Linked DNA regions of Alligator mississippiensis. The protein of the gene in region 3 purifies or fractionates together with the protein of the main gene of each other region. This does not show direct contact. Links are inferred from orthologs where the notes say so. Each region holds a gene or a part of one and is shown on either strand. Other genes may lie near its edges.

The links.
Region 1: the proteins of CCND1 (region 3) and CDK5 purify together in Homo sapiens (co-immunoprecipitation; 4 studies listed by BioGRID and IntAct, counting the BioPlex papers as one, with this or other methods). This does not show direct contact. The link is inferred for Alligator mississippiensis from reciprocal best matches to the Homo sapiens genes CCND1 and CDK5.
Region 2: the proteins of CCND1 (region 3) and HDAC3 purify together in Homo sapiens (affinity purification with western blotting; 5 studies listed by BioGRID and IntAct, with this or other methods). This does not show direct contact. The link is inferred for Alligator mississippiensis from reciprocal best matches to the Homo sapiens genes CCND1 and HDAC3.

The regions. Positions count from the first base shown.
Region 1 is NC_081828.1:220,005,315-220,009,055, forward strand, and holds the start of CDK5 (cyclin-dependent kinase 5), read right to left. Parts: upstream 2,703-3,741; 5' UTR 2,630-2,702; coding exon 2,593-2,629; intron 2,445-2,592; coding exon 2,356-2,444; intron 2,271-2,355; coding exon 2,203-2,270; intron 2,125-2,202; coding exon 2,064-2,124; intron 1,983-2,063; coding exon 1,926-1,982; intron 1,839-1,925; coding exon 1,743-1,838; intron 1,658-1,742; coding exon 1,583-1,657; intron 1,384-1,582; coding exon 1,287-1,383; intron 1,188-1,286; coding exon 1,118-1,187; intron 1,000-1,117; coding exon 939-999; intron 865-938; coding exon 784-864; intron 341-783; coding exon 254-340; 3' UTR 1-253. UniProt on the Homo sapiens protein: Proline-directed serine/threonine-protein kinase essential for neuronal cell cycle arrest and differentiation and may be involved in apoptotic cell death in neuronal diseases by triggering abortive cell cycle re-entry. Interacts with D1 and D3-type G1 cyclins.
Region 2 is NC_081832.1:40,858,564-40,862,304, reverse strand, and holds the start of HDAC3 (histone deacetylase 3), read right to left. Parts: upstream 2,632-3,741; 5' UTR 2,571-2,631; coding exon 2,516-2,570; intron 2,510-2,515; exon of another isoform or gene 2,397-2,509; intron 2,210-2,396; coding exon 2,127-2,209; intron 1-2,126. UniProt on the Homo sapiens protein: Histone deacetylase that catalyzes the deacetylation of lysine residues on the N-terminal part of the core histones (H2A, H2B, H3 and H4), and some other non-histone substrates.
Region 3 is NC_081825.1:215,201,243-215,204,983, reverse strand, and holds the start of CCND1 (G1/S-specific cyclin-D1), read right to left. Parts: upstream 2,251-3,741; 5' UTR 2,010-2,250; coding exon 1,812-2,009; intron 448-1,811; coding exon 232-447; intron 1-231. UniProt on the Homo sapiens protein: Regulatory component of the cyclin D1-CDK4 (DC) complex that phosphorylates and inhibits members of the retinoblastoma (RB) protein family including RB1 and regulates the cell-cycle during G(1)/S transition.

The DNA.
Region 1 (3,741 bases), on a different chromosome or scaffold from region 3:
CTGGCTACGGGGACCTGGAAAGAGGGCAGTGCCGGCTACAGCTGCCCCGGTCCCAGTGCTCCCCGGGCTGCAGCCAAGCCAGGAATGCAACTGGTTAGAAACCTAATAAATACGGGCAGGGGAGGGTCAGTCCTGATGGGGGCCAGAGCCCTGCCCCCCAAAATCTGCCTGCTCCGCACGGCGCAGACGGCACCCCCACCCCCACCCCCAGCCCGCGGTGCTGGAGCAGGGCGCGGGGTGTGAGCCGGGCTGGCTAGGGGGGGCAGAAGTCTGTGAAGTAGGGGTGCTGCAGCGCCTCCTCGGCCGATATCCGCTGCACCGGGTTGCACTTCAGCAGGTTCTGCGGAGGCAGCAAAGGGGGTGGCGTGAGCAGGGAGCTGGCCCGGCCGCAGGGAGCAATGCCCTCACCCCCGGGACACCCACCCCTACCGCAGGAGCTGGGGCAGCCTGGGGTCCAAGGTGGCCTGGCTAAGGGGGGTGCTGAGAGGAGGCAGAGGGGCAGCTGGCTCCCACCCCACGTGCTGCAGCCCCGAGGACGCCCCGCTTGGCAGGGACCCAGCTATGCCCGCACAGGGCACAAGGCAGCACGGGGTGGGGCGGCAGGGGCTGCAGATTCGGGGCCCAGCTGGAGAGGCTTCCCCAGCATGGGAGCAGCAGGAGCCAGAGACGCACAGCCACCCCTGCGCAGGGGGCAGGAGACGACGACCCCGGGGCCCCCCAGGCATGCGAGGCCGTGCCCGCCGCGGAGGCCGAGTCCCTGGCGGGGCGGGGCGGCGCTCTCACCTGCAGCAGGTCCCGGCCGGTGGCATTCAGCTTGGGCACCACATTCACCAGCGACGTCGTGGCCGGGTACATGGGGTAAGGCTGCGGGGACGGGCGGCGTGAGTCCGGGGGCTCCCTGCCCCTCGCCCCTGTCCCAGGCAGCTGCCCCTGCCTACCTTGTAGTCGGGAAGCTTGGTCATGGCTGGCCACTGCTCCTCAGTCGGGGTGCCCAGCAGCGTGGGCGGCCGAGTTAAGGGCCACGGGACCAGAAGGGACCTTGGGGCCATGAGGCCCGACACCCAGCAGCCACAGACCCCCCACACGCCCTGTCCCGCCCCCTCGTACCCAAGGATATCGGAAAATCCTCTTCAGCTGGTCGTCCACGTCGTTGCCGGGGAAGAGGGGCCGCCCCGCGTTGGCCAGCTCTGCGGAGAGGAGCGCGAGGGGTCAGCGGGCAGCCGGCAGACTCCCGGCCCCCAGCCCAGCCAGGCCGCGCCGCGCCGCCGGCCCACGCGCCCCGGCACCTGCGAAGATGCAGCCGGCCGACCACATGTCGATGGAGGTGGAGTAGAGCTTGGCGCCGAAGAGCACGTCCGGGGGCCGGTACCACAGCGTGACGACCTGCGGGGCACGGACGGGCAGTGCGCCGCACACCCCCCCGGGCCAGGGGCACGGGGGCAGGGCGCCGCGGGGGGCGGGGGCAGGTGGGCGCTCGACCCCGGCAGCACCGAGGTGCGGGGTGGTGCAAGGCAGTCCCCCCACGCGCCGTGGCATGGTGGGGGTGCCCCGCACGGCGCGAGGGCCGCGGGCGCGCACTCACCTCGGCCGAGTAGCAGCGCACGGGGATGCCGAAGGCGCGGGCCAGGCCGAAATCCGCCAGCTTGAGCTCCCCGTTCTGCGGAGCACGGCGCGGCGTCACGGCCGCCCCGCGCGCTGCCAGCCCCCCCGGCCCCGGCCCCGGCCCCGGCGCCCCGACTCACCCGGTTGATGAGCAGGTTTTGGGGCTTGAGGTCGCGGTGCAGCACGTTGCGGCTGTGGCAGAAGCCGAGGCCCTTCAGCAACTGGTACATGAAGGACTGCGGAGGAGCGCGGTATCAGCGCCGCCCGGCACCGGCACCGACGCCGACGCGGGTCCAGCGCCGCCCCCCGCGCCCCGCGCCCACCTTGACGATCTCGGGGTCCAGGTCCCCGTTGCAGCTGTCGAAGTACTTCTTGAGGTCCTGGGCGGGACAGCGCGGGGTCAGGGGTCGGGTCAGGGGTCACAGCGGGGGTGGGGGCCCCGCGGCCCCCCGCGGCCCTACCTGGTCGCAGAACTCGAAGACCAGCGTCAGCTTCTTGTCGCTGTGCAGCACGTCGTGCAGCCTGCGGACAGGGCCGTGAGCCGGGGCGGGGCCGGGGCCCGGACCCCCACCCCCACCCCGCCCCGGCCCCGATCCCGACCTGACGATGTTCTTGTGCTTCAGCTCCTTGAGCAGGCAGATCTCGCGCAGCGCCGAGCTGGGCACCCCCTGCGGCGGCACCGGCCACGGGTCAAGGGGGGGCACGTGCCCCCCCACCCCGACCCACGTGTCGCGGTGCCCCTCCCCCCCGCACCTCGTCGTCGTCGTCCAGCCGCACCCGCTTCAGCGCCACGATCTCGTGCGTCTCCCGGTTCTTGGCCTTGAACACGGTCCCGTACGTCCCTGCGGGGGGGGCGGGGCGGGGCGGGGCGGGGGGTCAGCGGGCCCGATCCCGCGCCCCGCCCCCGCGCATGGATGGGCCCGATCCCGGGTCCAACCCTGCCCCCCCCCCCCGCCCGCCCGGCCCGGCCCGGCCCGGCCCGGCCCGCACCTTCCCCGATCTTCTCCAGCTTCTCGTATTTCTGCATGGCTCCGCGCCCCGCGCCGCCCCGCGCCGCACTACACCTCCCGGCCTGCCCCGCGACCACTCCGTCTCCCGGCATGCACCGCGCCGCCCCGCCCCGCCCCGCCCCGCCCCGCGGGACTACAACGCCCGGCGTGCACCGCGCCCCGCCCCTTTCCCCTCTCCCCGGGCAATGGGGGGCAGTCCGGGGGGGCGGGGCCTGCGGGGGGAGGAAGGAGCCGCGGCCCCCCCCTCCTCCCCCCGGCGCAGGCGGCGGCAGGTGAGCGCGGCCCCCCCGGGATTGCCCCCTTTTGCCCAGGCAGCCCGGGGTGCCCCCTCGTGCCACGTGCGGGGTGTGGCCCCCCCAGGCCGGGCCCCCCGTGCAGGTGAGCGGGGCGGGGCGGGGCGGGGCGGGGCGGGGGGGCTGGCACCATGCGCGGGGCACGCGGCCGCCCGCCACCGTGACATCGCTGCCCCTCCCCGAGGCGGGGGCGCGGGGGCGCCTCGGGGCAGCGGGCAGGGATACACGGCGCGTCGGGCGCTGGGCATCGCCGTGCGGCGGCAGGGCGCAGGGCATCGTGTTGGGCGGCATGGCGAGAGCAACACGTCGGGGCCCTGGGCTCTGCGGTGCGGGCGGCAGGGCAGCGCGTCGGGGCGCTGGGTGGCACGGTGTGGGTGGCACATCGGGGCCCTGGGCTCTGTGGTGCGGGCGGCAGGGCAGCGCGGCGGGGCGGGGAGCAGGGCTCTGCAGTGCAGGCAGCGTGTCGGGGCACTGGGCGGCACAGTGCGGGCAGCACACCGGGGCACTGGGCTCTGCGGTGCGGGCGGCAGGGCAGCGCGTCGGGGCAGGGAGCAGGGCTCTGCAGTGCAGGCGGCGGGGCAGCGCGTCGGGGCGCTGGGCGACACAGTGCGGGCAGCGCAGTGCGGGCAGCGCACCGGGGCACTGGGCTCTGCGGTGCGGGCGGCAGGGCAGCGCGTCGGGGCGCTGGGTGGCACGGTGTGGGTGGCACATCGGGGCCCTGGGCTCTGCGGTGCGGGCGGCAGGGCAGCGCGTTGGGGCAGGGAGCAGGGCTCTGCAGTGCAGGCGGCGGGGCAGCGCGGCGGGGCTCTGGGTGGCATGGTGTGGGTGGCACGTCG
Region 2 (3,741 bases), on a different chromosome or scaffold from region 3:
CATGGTACAGTGGTTATGGGGCAGGATTCCCTGTAAAGCATGAGGCCTGGAAAGCCCATGGCTTGCACTGGCGTGGTCCACATGGCATGCTGCTTAGAATATCTCAGCTGTTTATAAATGTTTTTTTCTCTGGCATCCAATCAAAACCTGGAACTCCAAGCCATGGCTATGCATCCCATCCAATGTAATGATGGAGAAAATATGTTCTCCATTTTTCATGGCAGCTGAAGGAATTGGCCAGTGTCATAGCAGAGCCACTGGCACAGCTATTTGAGCACTCTTGGTGCTCAAGTCAGGTCCCAGAGGACTGGAAAAGGGCCAGCACAGTCCCTATTTTCAAGAAGGGGAGGAAGGAGGATCCAAGTAACTATAGACAGATTAGTCTCACCTCTATCCTCAGGAAAACCTTTGAAAAAATTATTAAGGATCACATTTGTGGGAGTCCAGCAGGGAAAGCAATGCTAAAGGGCAACCAGCACGTATTCATAGCAGGTAGATCCTGCCTGACTAACCTTGTTTCTTTTTATGACCAGGTCACAAAATGCTTAGATGCAGGAATCAAGGTAGAGGTCATCCACGCACAACATTTATCTGACACAAGAAGTCTACAAGCCAAGGAGAGGTAAAGCACTGCTCGACCTGATACTGGCAACTGGGAGCAATCTAACGATCAAAGGGAAGCTGGGTGACAGCGACCACGAGCTGATCACCTTCACCATCTGCCATAAAGCTGGCAAGACAGCAACACAGAAGTCCTTGACTTCAAGAAAGCTGACTGTGACAAGCTGAGGAGGCTTGCCAGTGAAGCCCTAAGGGACCACGACCCATAGGGGAGGGGAGTTCAGGAAGACTGGTCGCTCCTCAAGGGAGCGATCCTTGATGCACAAGCTAATGCTATTCCATCTCGGAGGAAAGGCAGCAAAAGGGCACAGCAGCCCCCTTGGCTCTCCAGGGAACTAGCAGACCTCCTGCAGCTAAAGAGAAAGACCTACAAAGAATAGAGGACGGGATCCACCTCCAAAGAGGAATATTCCGCATTGGTCCGGACCTGCAGGGAGCGAATGAGGAAAGCCAAGGCTACAAATGAACTACAACCAGCTACAAGTATCAAGGGCAATAAAAAGTCCTTTTTTAGATAAGTGGGGAGCCAGAGGAAAAAGAAAGGGCAACATTGGACCCCTGTTAAAACAGATGGGACAACTGAAAACCGACACCAAGGAAAAAGCCAGCTTACTAAATGAGTATTTTGTGTCAGTCTTTCATCAATCCCACGGGACTCCCTGTCCCATAGTGGTCAGGGATGACCTGGGTGAGGGAGATTCCTTGCCCTCCATCAATCCTGACCTTGTGAAGGAACACCTTGAGAGGCTGGACACCTTCAAGTCAGCTGGCCCTGACAATCTACACCCCAGGGTACTCAAGGAGCTGGCTAGCATCATAGCCCAGTCCCTGGCAAAGATCTTCAAGAACTCCTGGTGTTCTGATGAAGTGCCCGAAGATTGAAAGAAGGCCAATGTGGTGTCTATCTTCAAGAAAGGGAGGAAAGTGGATCCAGCAAACTACAGGCCCATCAGCCTGACTTCTACCCCGGGAAAGGTCTTGGAAAATGCACATGCAGCAGAGCTCACCCAGGCAGTGCAGTCCACAGCTGTGCCAGGGGCAGGAGCTGCAACTGGAGATGCGGGGAGCAGAACAGCCCCACAGCATGCAGCTTCCAGCTCGTCAGGTGCTGCTCTGCTTGCCCTGCCTCCAGCTCCCGCCCCTGCTGTGCCACTCTGGAAGAGCAGAGGGACGCTTCAGCTGGCAGCTCCACCGGAGGTGAGGGAAGTGCAGCAGCACTGGGAACATCCCCACTGGGAGCTGTGCACACCGGTCAAGATCTGGCCCTGGGCCAGCAGGAGCAGGTGGGATTTGCCACAGGGGCATCCATGGACCAGATCCAGTCACTTGCCCGTATTTTGCCCACCCCTGTTCTAGACTGATAGCTACAATGGCTCAGGCTGGACTGCACTTCACAGGCACACTTAGACGTAACTATTTCGTCTACCTCCTAGACAAGACTGCGCAAGGCAAGGACCACCAGCCCCAGCAGACCAGTCTTGCTGGTCTCCGCCCGTGATGCTTACAATCATCTTCTTGTAGAGCCCGTAGTGCAGCACGAGGCTGTGAGTGAGCGCCAGGCGATGAGGCTTCATGGGATGTCCCGCCCCTGCAACACACGGAGGGAGGAGCGGGTGAGTCAGGCACACGCGGGGCTCCCAGTGAGCAGGGGCCGCAGCACCACGGGGCTGACCCGACTGACTCCGGCCGCGCAGCCCTCCCCTCCCAGGAGCAGCCCGGCCCTGCCTGCCTCGGCCAAGCCACCCGCGCCCCCCCAGAGCCGCCTCGGCGCTTACGGCCAACGGGCCGGGCCGGGCCTCGGCGCTGACAGGGGACGGGGGAGGCGGCCACGCACGCGGCTCGGCCAGCGGAGAGGGGTTGCCCCGGGGCCTCCTGCCCGCCCCGCCGCGCTTACCGTAGTGGAAGTTGCCCACGTCCGGGTCGTAGAAATAGGCCACGGTTTTCGCCATGGCCGGCGCCCCGCCCCCCGCGGCCCTCGCGAGACCGCGTCCTTCCCGCGCGGGGCGGGGCGGGGCGGTCCCTGCTGCGGCCCCGCCCCCGCCTGGAGGAAGCCGGCGCAGACCTGCGCCCCTGCCGGTCGCTAGTCCGCGGAGCTGGAGCTGTTCGTGCCGGTGTGCCGCGCCGGGCCGGGCCGGGCCGCCGCGCCAGGAGTGTCCCCGCGCTGGCGGAGACGCTCTGCTGCAGAAGGAGCTCGGTCTTGTCTGCTCCGCGTGTTCTTGAAGCCTTTACTCTTGTGACCTGGTGCCAGGGCAGCCGCTACTACTGCATTACTGCACGAAGGGCGCGCGCGCTTGGGGCTGGCCCTCGGCCTGCTGTGTGTCCAGAAACCAGCTGGAGTTTTGCTCTGGACTTGAGCCGCAGCTCCCCCGCCCCACGCAGTCCACCCAGCCCAGCAAGAGATGGCTGCTCCATCATTCAAGCTTGGGAGTTGGCGGAGGTTGGACAAAGTAGTCACACGCCCCCATTGCACGCCTTAACCATGCTAGTCTGAGGGACCATTAGGCCCTGGTGGACCTTTGATTTTTGATACTGGCTCTTCTAAGGTAACAATGTTGGCAGCCCCCCACTACCAGAAGGATAGTTTTTTGGTGAATAGGGGAGTCCTCAGAGAGCCGAGATGGCTGAGGAGCCCAGTCTGAGATCCTCATGTTGTCTGCAGATATGAGAAGTAGCTCTGGGAGGAAGGAGCAGATCAGGTCACAGCTCTCTCTTTGTGTCTCTCCTCTATCCACCTCTGTAGTGAGGTGAGTTTCATACCTTGTACATGGGGGTGATTCAGTATTTGAGTCTAGAGCAGTGACCATCAGTGAGTTGGGAGTATAGGACCTGTTTCGGGGGCTGGCTGTCAGGCACCCTTATAACGTTCTAACCAATAAAGCTAGCGTCATACAAACACAACTTCAATTCTGGTAGAGCTTCCTTGATCCAGAAAGCTAGCATTCATTCTTCTTTCCAGTTGAGATGGAGAATTTCCTGAAAACATCACCAGCAATTATCTTCCAAAGCTTCCAGATGCTTCCAACATGGCATCCAGGTTTCACACCCGTACAGCAGGATAGGAAAGACCCTGCTAGAGTTTGGTTTGGGTCGATTTCATGATCATCAAAGATGGGATTTCAG
Region 3 (3,741 bases):
GGAAGTGAAGGCTAATTCTCCTGAATGAATGGTGCACAATTATGCAGAGGCCCTATGGGCAGATGTGAGAAAGTCAAGAGGTCCTATGGGCAGATGTGAGGAAGTCAGCCGCAATTTCTTCTCTGGAGCCTTTTTTGTCCCTCCCCCCCTTTCCCGATCTTGCTTCCAGTGGTCTGTCTGCATTGGGCGGGATTGGATTTGGGTCTCCCGAGGAGGTGAGCCCCAAATTACCAGTAATTCGTCGGGCCTGATGGAGTTGTCGGTGTAAATGCACAGCTTCTCTGCCGTCAGCGGGATGGTTTCCTTCATTTTCGAAGCCACGAACATGCAGGTCGCTCCCAGCAGCTGCAACCGGCTCTTCTTGAGGGGCTCGAAGGACAAAAACCTGTCCAAGTAATTCATAGCCAAGGGGAACACCTCCTCTTCGCATTTCTGCTCCTCACAAACCTGCCAAACCAGAGAGGTCGTTGAAAGGAGGCCTGGCATCAATAGGGAGTCAAGCCCCACTCCCTTCCCTCCCCCTTTGCGCTCGGGCTGCAGGGCTGAATATTGGGGAGAGGAGGGGATATGTGAAAATGCCCTGAATAAAACCCATGTGGGAAGGGGGAGGATGAGAGGAACAAAACTGAGTGAATGGGGGGAAGGCTACGTAAAAATGTGGGGTTAAAAGAAAAAAAAAGGGGGGGGTCATTCCCCTGGATCGATGGAGTGGGGGATCCACAGGACCCGGTGGATCCCAGCCGGGTGGGATCCCCTCAGCAGCGCTGCCAGCCGCCGGGGGCGAAGCCGCACTCCAGACACAAAGGTGGCGTCCGCCGGCCGCATTTCCCCAGACGTCATCTTTTCAAAAAATATTTAAAAATATTTAAAAAATCTCCCGAGCCTCCTCAAGGGCCTGAAAATGCCCCTCGGGGGCGGCTTGACCCAGCCGGCTCGGCAAGCCGGGCGGGGAGGCCGGCACGGCGGTCCCCCGAAAGCAAAACCCCGGGTCCCCCCCGCTCCCCTCCTCCACCCGGCCAGCCAGCCGCGTGCGGCGGCAGGGACCGCGCGGGCCGCCTTCAGAAATTAATTAAAAATAGTCGGCGGGCGCCCAGCGCGGAGGGGCGGCCACCACAATGTGGCCCGGGCTCCGGGGGTCGCGCTGCCCGGGCCCCACGGCGGCGCCCGCCCGCACGCCCGTCCCCAGGGGGCTGCGGGCCGCCTGCCCCGCGCCGGACGCCCCGGCCGCAGCGCGCCTCGCGGGGGCACCGCGCCTGCAGCCCCGCGCCGCCGCCAACAAAGGGCCAGGGCCCGGCCCCCGACCCCGGCCCCCGACCCCGGCCGCTTTGCAGTATCATTGATTACCCCCCCCCCCCCAAAAAAAAAAAAAAAAAAAAAGCGAGGGAAAGAACAAAGATGGCGCGGAATACTGGCACGGCCGGCGCCTGCATACGTGTACGGGGATATTCATTTAAAATTAAAAAAAAAAAAATCCCCCCCCCTTAAAGAGGGGGCGAGGGGGGCAGGACGCCAGAGATGGAAACTTTTTTTTTTTTTAATTCTGATTTTATTTGGGGGAAGGCGGGGAGGAGGTGGATTTGCAAGCTGGGGGGGCATGAAGACCCCTTCAATGCAGCAGGCTTGGGGGGGAGCCGCGCTGCCTTGATGGTGCGGCTGGATCCGGAGCCGGGCACGCTGCTGCCTCCCTCTCTCCTTCCCTCTCTCCCTCCCTCCCCGCCGCGGGATGTCCGGCGCTGCTGTAGGGTTTCGGGGGTCTCCCGGGGTCCATCCCCTCCGGGCTCCGGCAGGAGCGATGCCCCGGACATACGCACCTCCAGCATCCAAGTGGCCACTATTTTCCGCATGTAGGGCAAGATCTCCTTTTGCACGCACTTGAAGTAGAAGCCCGAGGGCGTGCAGGTCTCCTCCGCCTTCAGCATGGCCAGCAGGACCCTGTCATTCAGTAGGTTGGCGTCTAGGTAGGCTCTTCGGATGGTTTCCACCTCGCAGCACAGCAGCTGATGTTCCATGTCTGCCTCCTTCTTCCACAGTCAGGTTTCTAAAGGACTGACTCAAGGCTCGTCCCTCTCTCTCTCTCTCTCTTCCCCTTCCAGGAGTCCCTTGGATGCTGCTTGCTGCTACTGCCGCTACAGCCCTCTGGAGGCTGAAAAACTTTCCAACTTCCAACAAAACTCTCCTGTATAGTTTAGTCCCTGTGACGTGACTGTTGTTAAGCAGAGATCAAAGCAGCGGAGAGAATGAGAGAGAGAGAGAGAAGCCAAAAGCAAGGGGCAGAGCCCTAAAGCCATCCCATAGGCTTGGAGTCCTTCCCCTTTGCTTAGCTTATACAGAAGCAGGGTTTAATGCAAATGCAAATGAGACAAGGGCTTGCTTTCTTCAAGGGCAGGGGAGAGGTGGGGGAAACCCAAATTGTCTCTTCAGTGTATCATGCATAATTTTCAAAATGGAGAGAGTTGGGCAGTGGGAGCTAAATGATGAATGGGACTAGGCCACACACAGACACACGCGGATATGGACACAGGGGGACCCTCTTCAGATTGTTTTATTGGGGGGTAGAGGGGAGGCAGCACCATAGTGTTGTTGTTGTTGCTATTCTTCATCGTTTGTCATATTTCAAAGAAACTCCTATTTAAAAGCACTCCCAACCTGGAATATGCACAGGCGGAGCATTAATAATCCAAAGGCAGACTTGTTCTCCATTTTGCCTTCCTGGTTTAGATTTAGATTATATCTTTGAAAGTTAAAGGAATGTAGGATCTCCTTCCTTGGGGTGGGGGGCTTTTAGATTTTACCCTGCCAAAAGGATTGGGGGACACAGGGTGAAATCCATTTAACCCTAACCAAACAGCAGAGCAAAGCTCCACACCCTGCCCCCGCTACACGCCACCACCCAGAAAAAAAAATCTCAGCAGTGCAGCAAAATGGTGGCCAGCATTTCCTCCCACACAGTTAACACCTAAAAGAAGAGGAATCCAAGGGAAGGTGCCAGGATCCAGGGAGTTACCCAGGGGCCGATCCCAAGCTCACGGAGAGGGGGAGTCCGTCCTTCCACAGCTTAAATTTTTGTTGATGTGGCTCCAGCAATAAGTTGTCAGTTCCTCAGCAGATTGAGGCTGTCTATATCTTTAATATATTTTGGGGCAGGGGAATGAAACACTTGTTTATCTTCTTTCCTTTGAACCTAGATATGTTTTTTGGGGGAAAAAAGGGATCAAGCATTTGGACTCCATGTTTTTTGGGCTCTTAACAGCAAAGCTCATGGCAAAACTCACAGTGACTTCAGTGGAACTAGAATTTCACTTGTTTGGGGGGAGACTGTAGATATATCTGTAGATGTACCTTTCCTTTGCTGGAAAGGTTTCCCACCTCCTAATGTGGGCACGTAACAATAAATAATAGGTCCTCAGACCCCAAACTGCCGTAGCACTCCTCAGAGCATCATCAGTATGCTGAAATAGATGAGCATGGTGGCTGTAGGTGGCTTGCTGGAGTGTTAGGTCCGGGTCTCCCCTTCAAGATGTATAGTGAGCACTAGTACAGATCATAGGGCATAAAGCTGCAGCTTCCCACATGTACACAGTGTCTCTTTGTGAGCTCTCCGCATGACGCTTGCCTTTACTTGTATCTTATCTACATGATGATGACATTCAGAGGATCCAAGGAGGATCTAGGCTACCTGTGTCTTCCCCACGTGTGCGCCTCATAACCAGACTTGCCCAGAAGAGTTATGAAAGGGGGAAG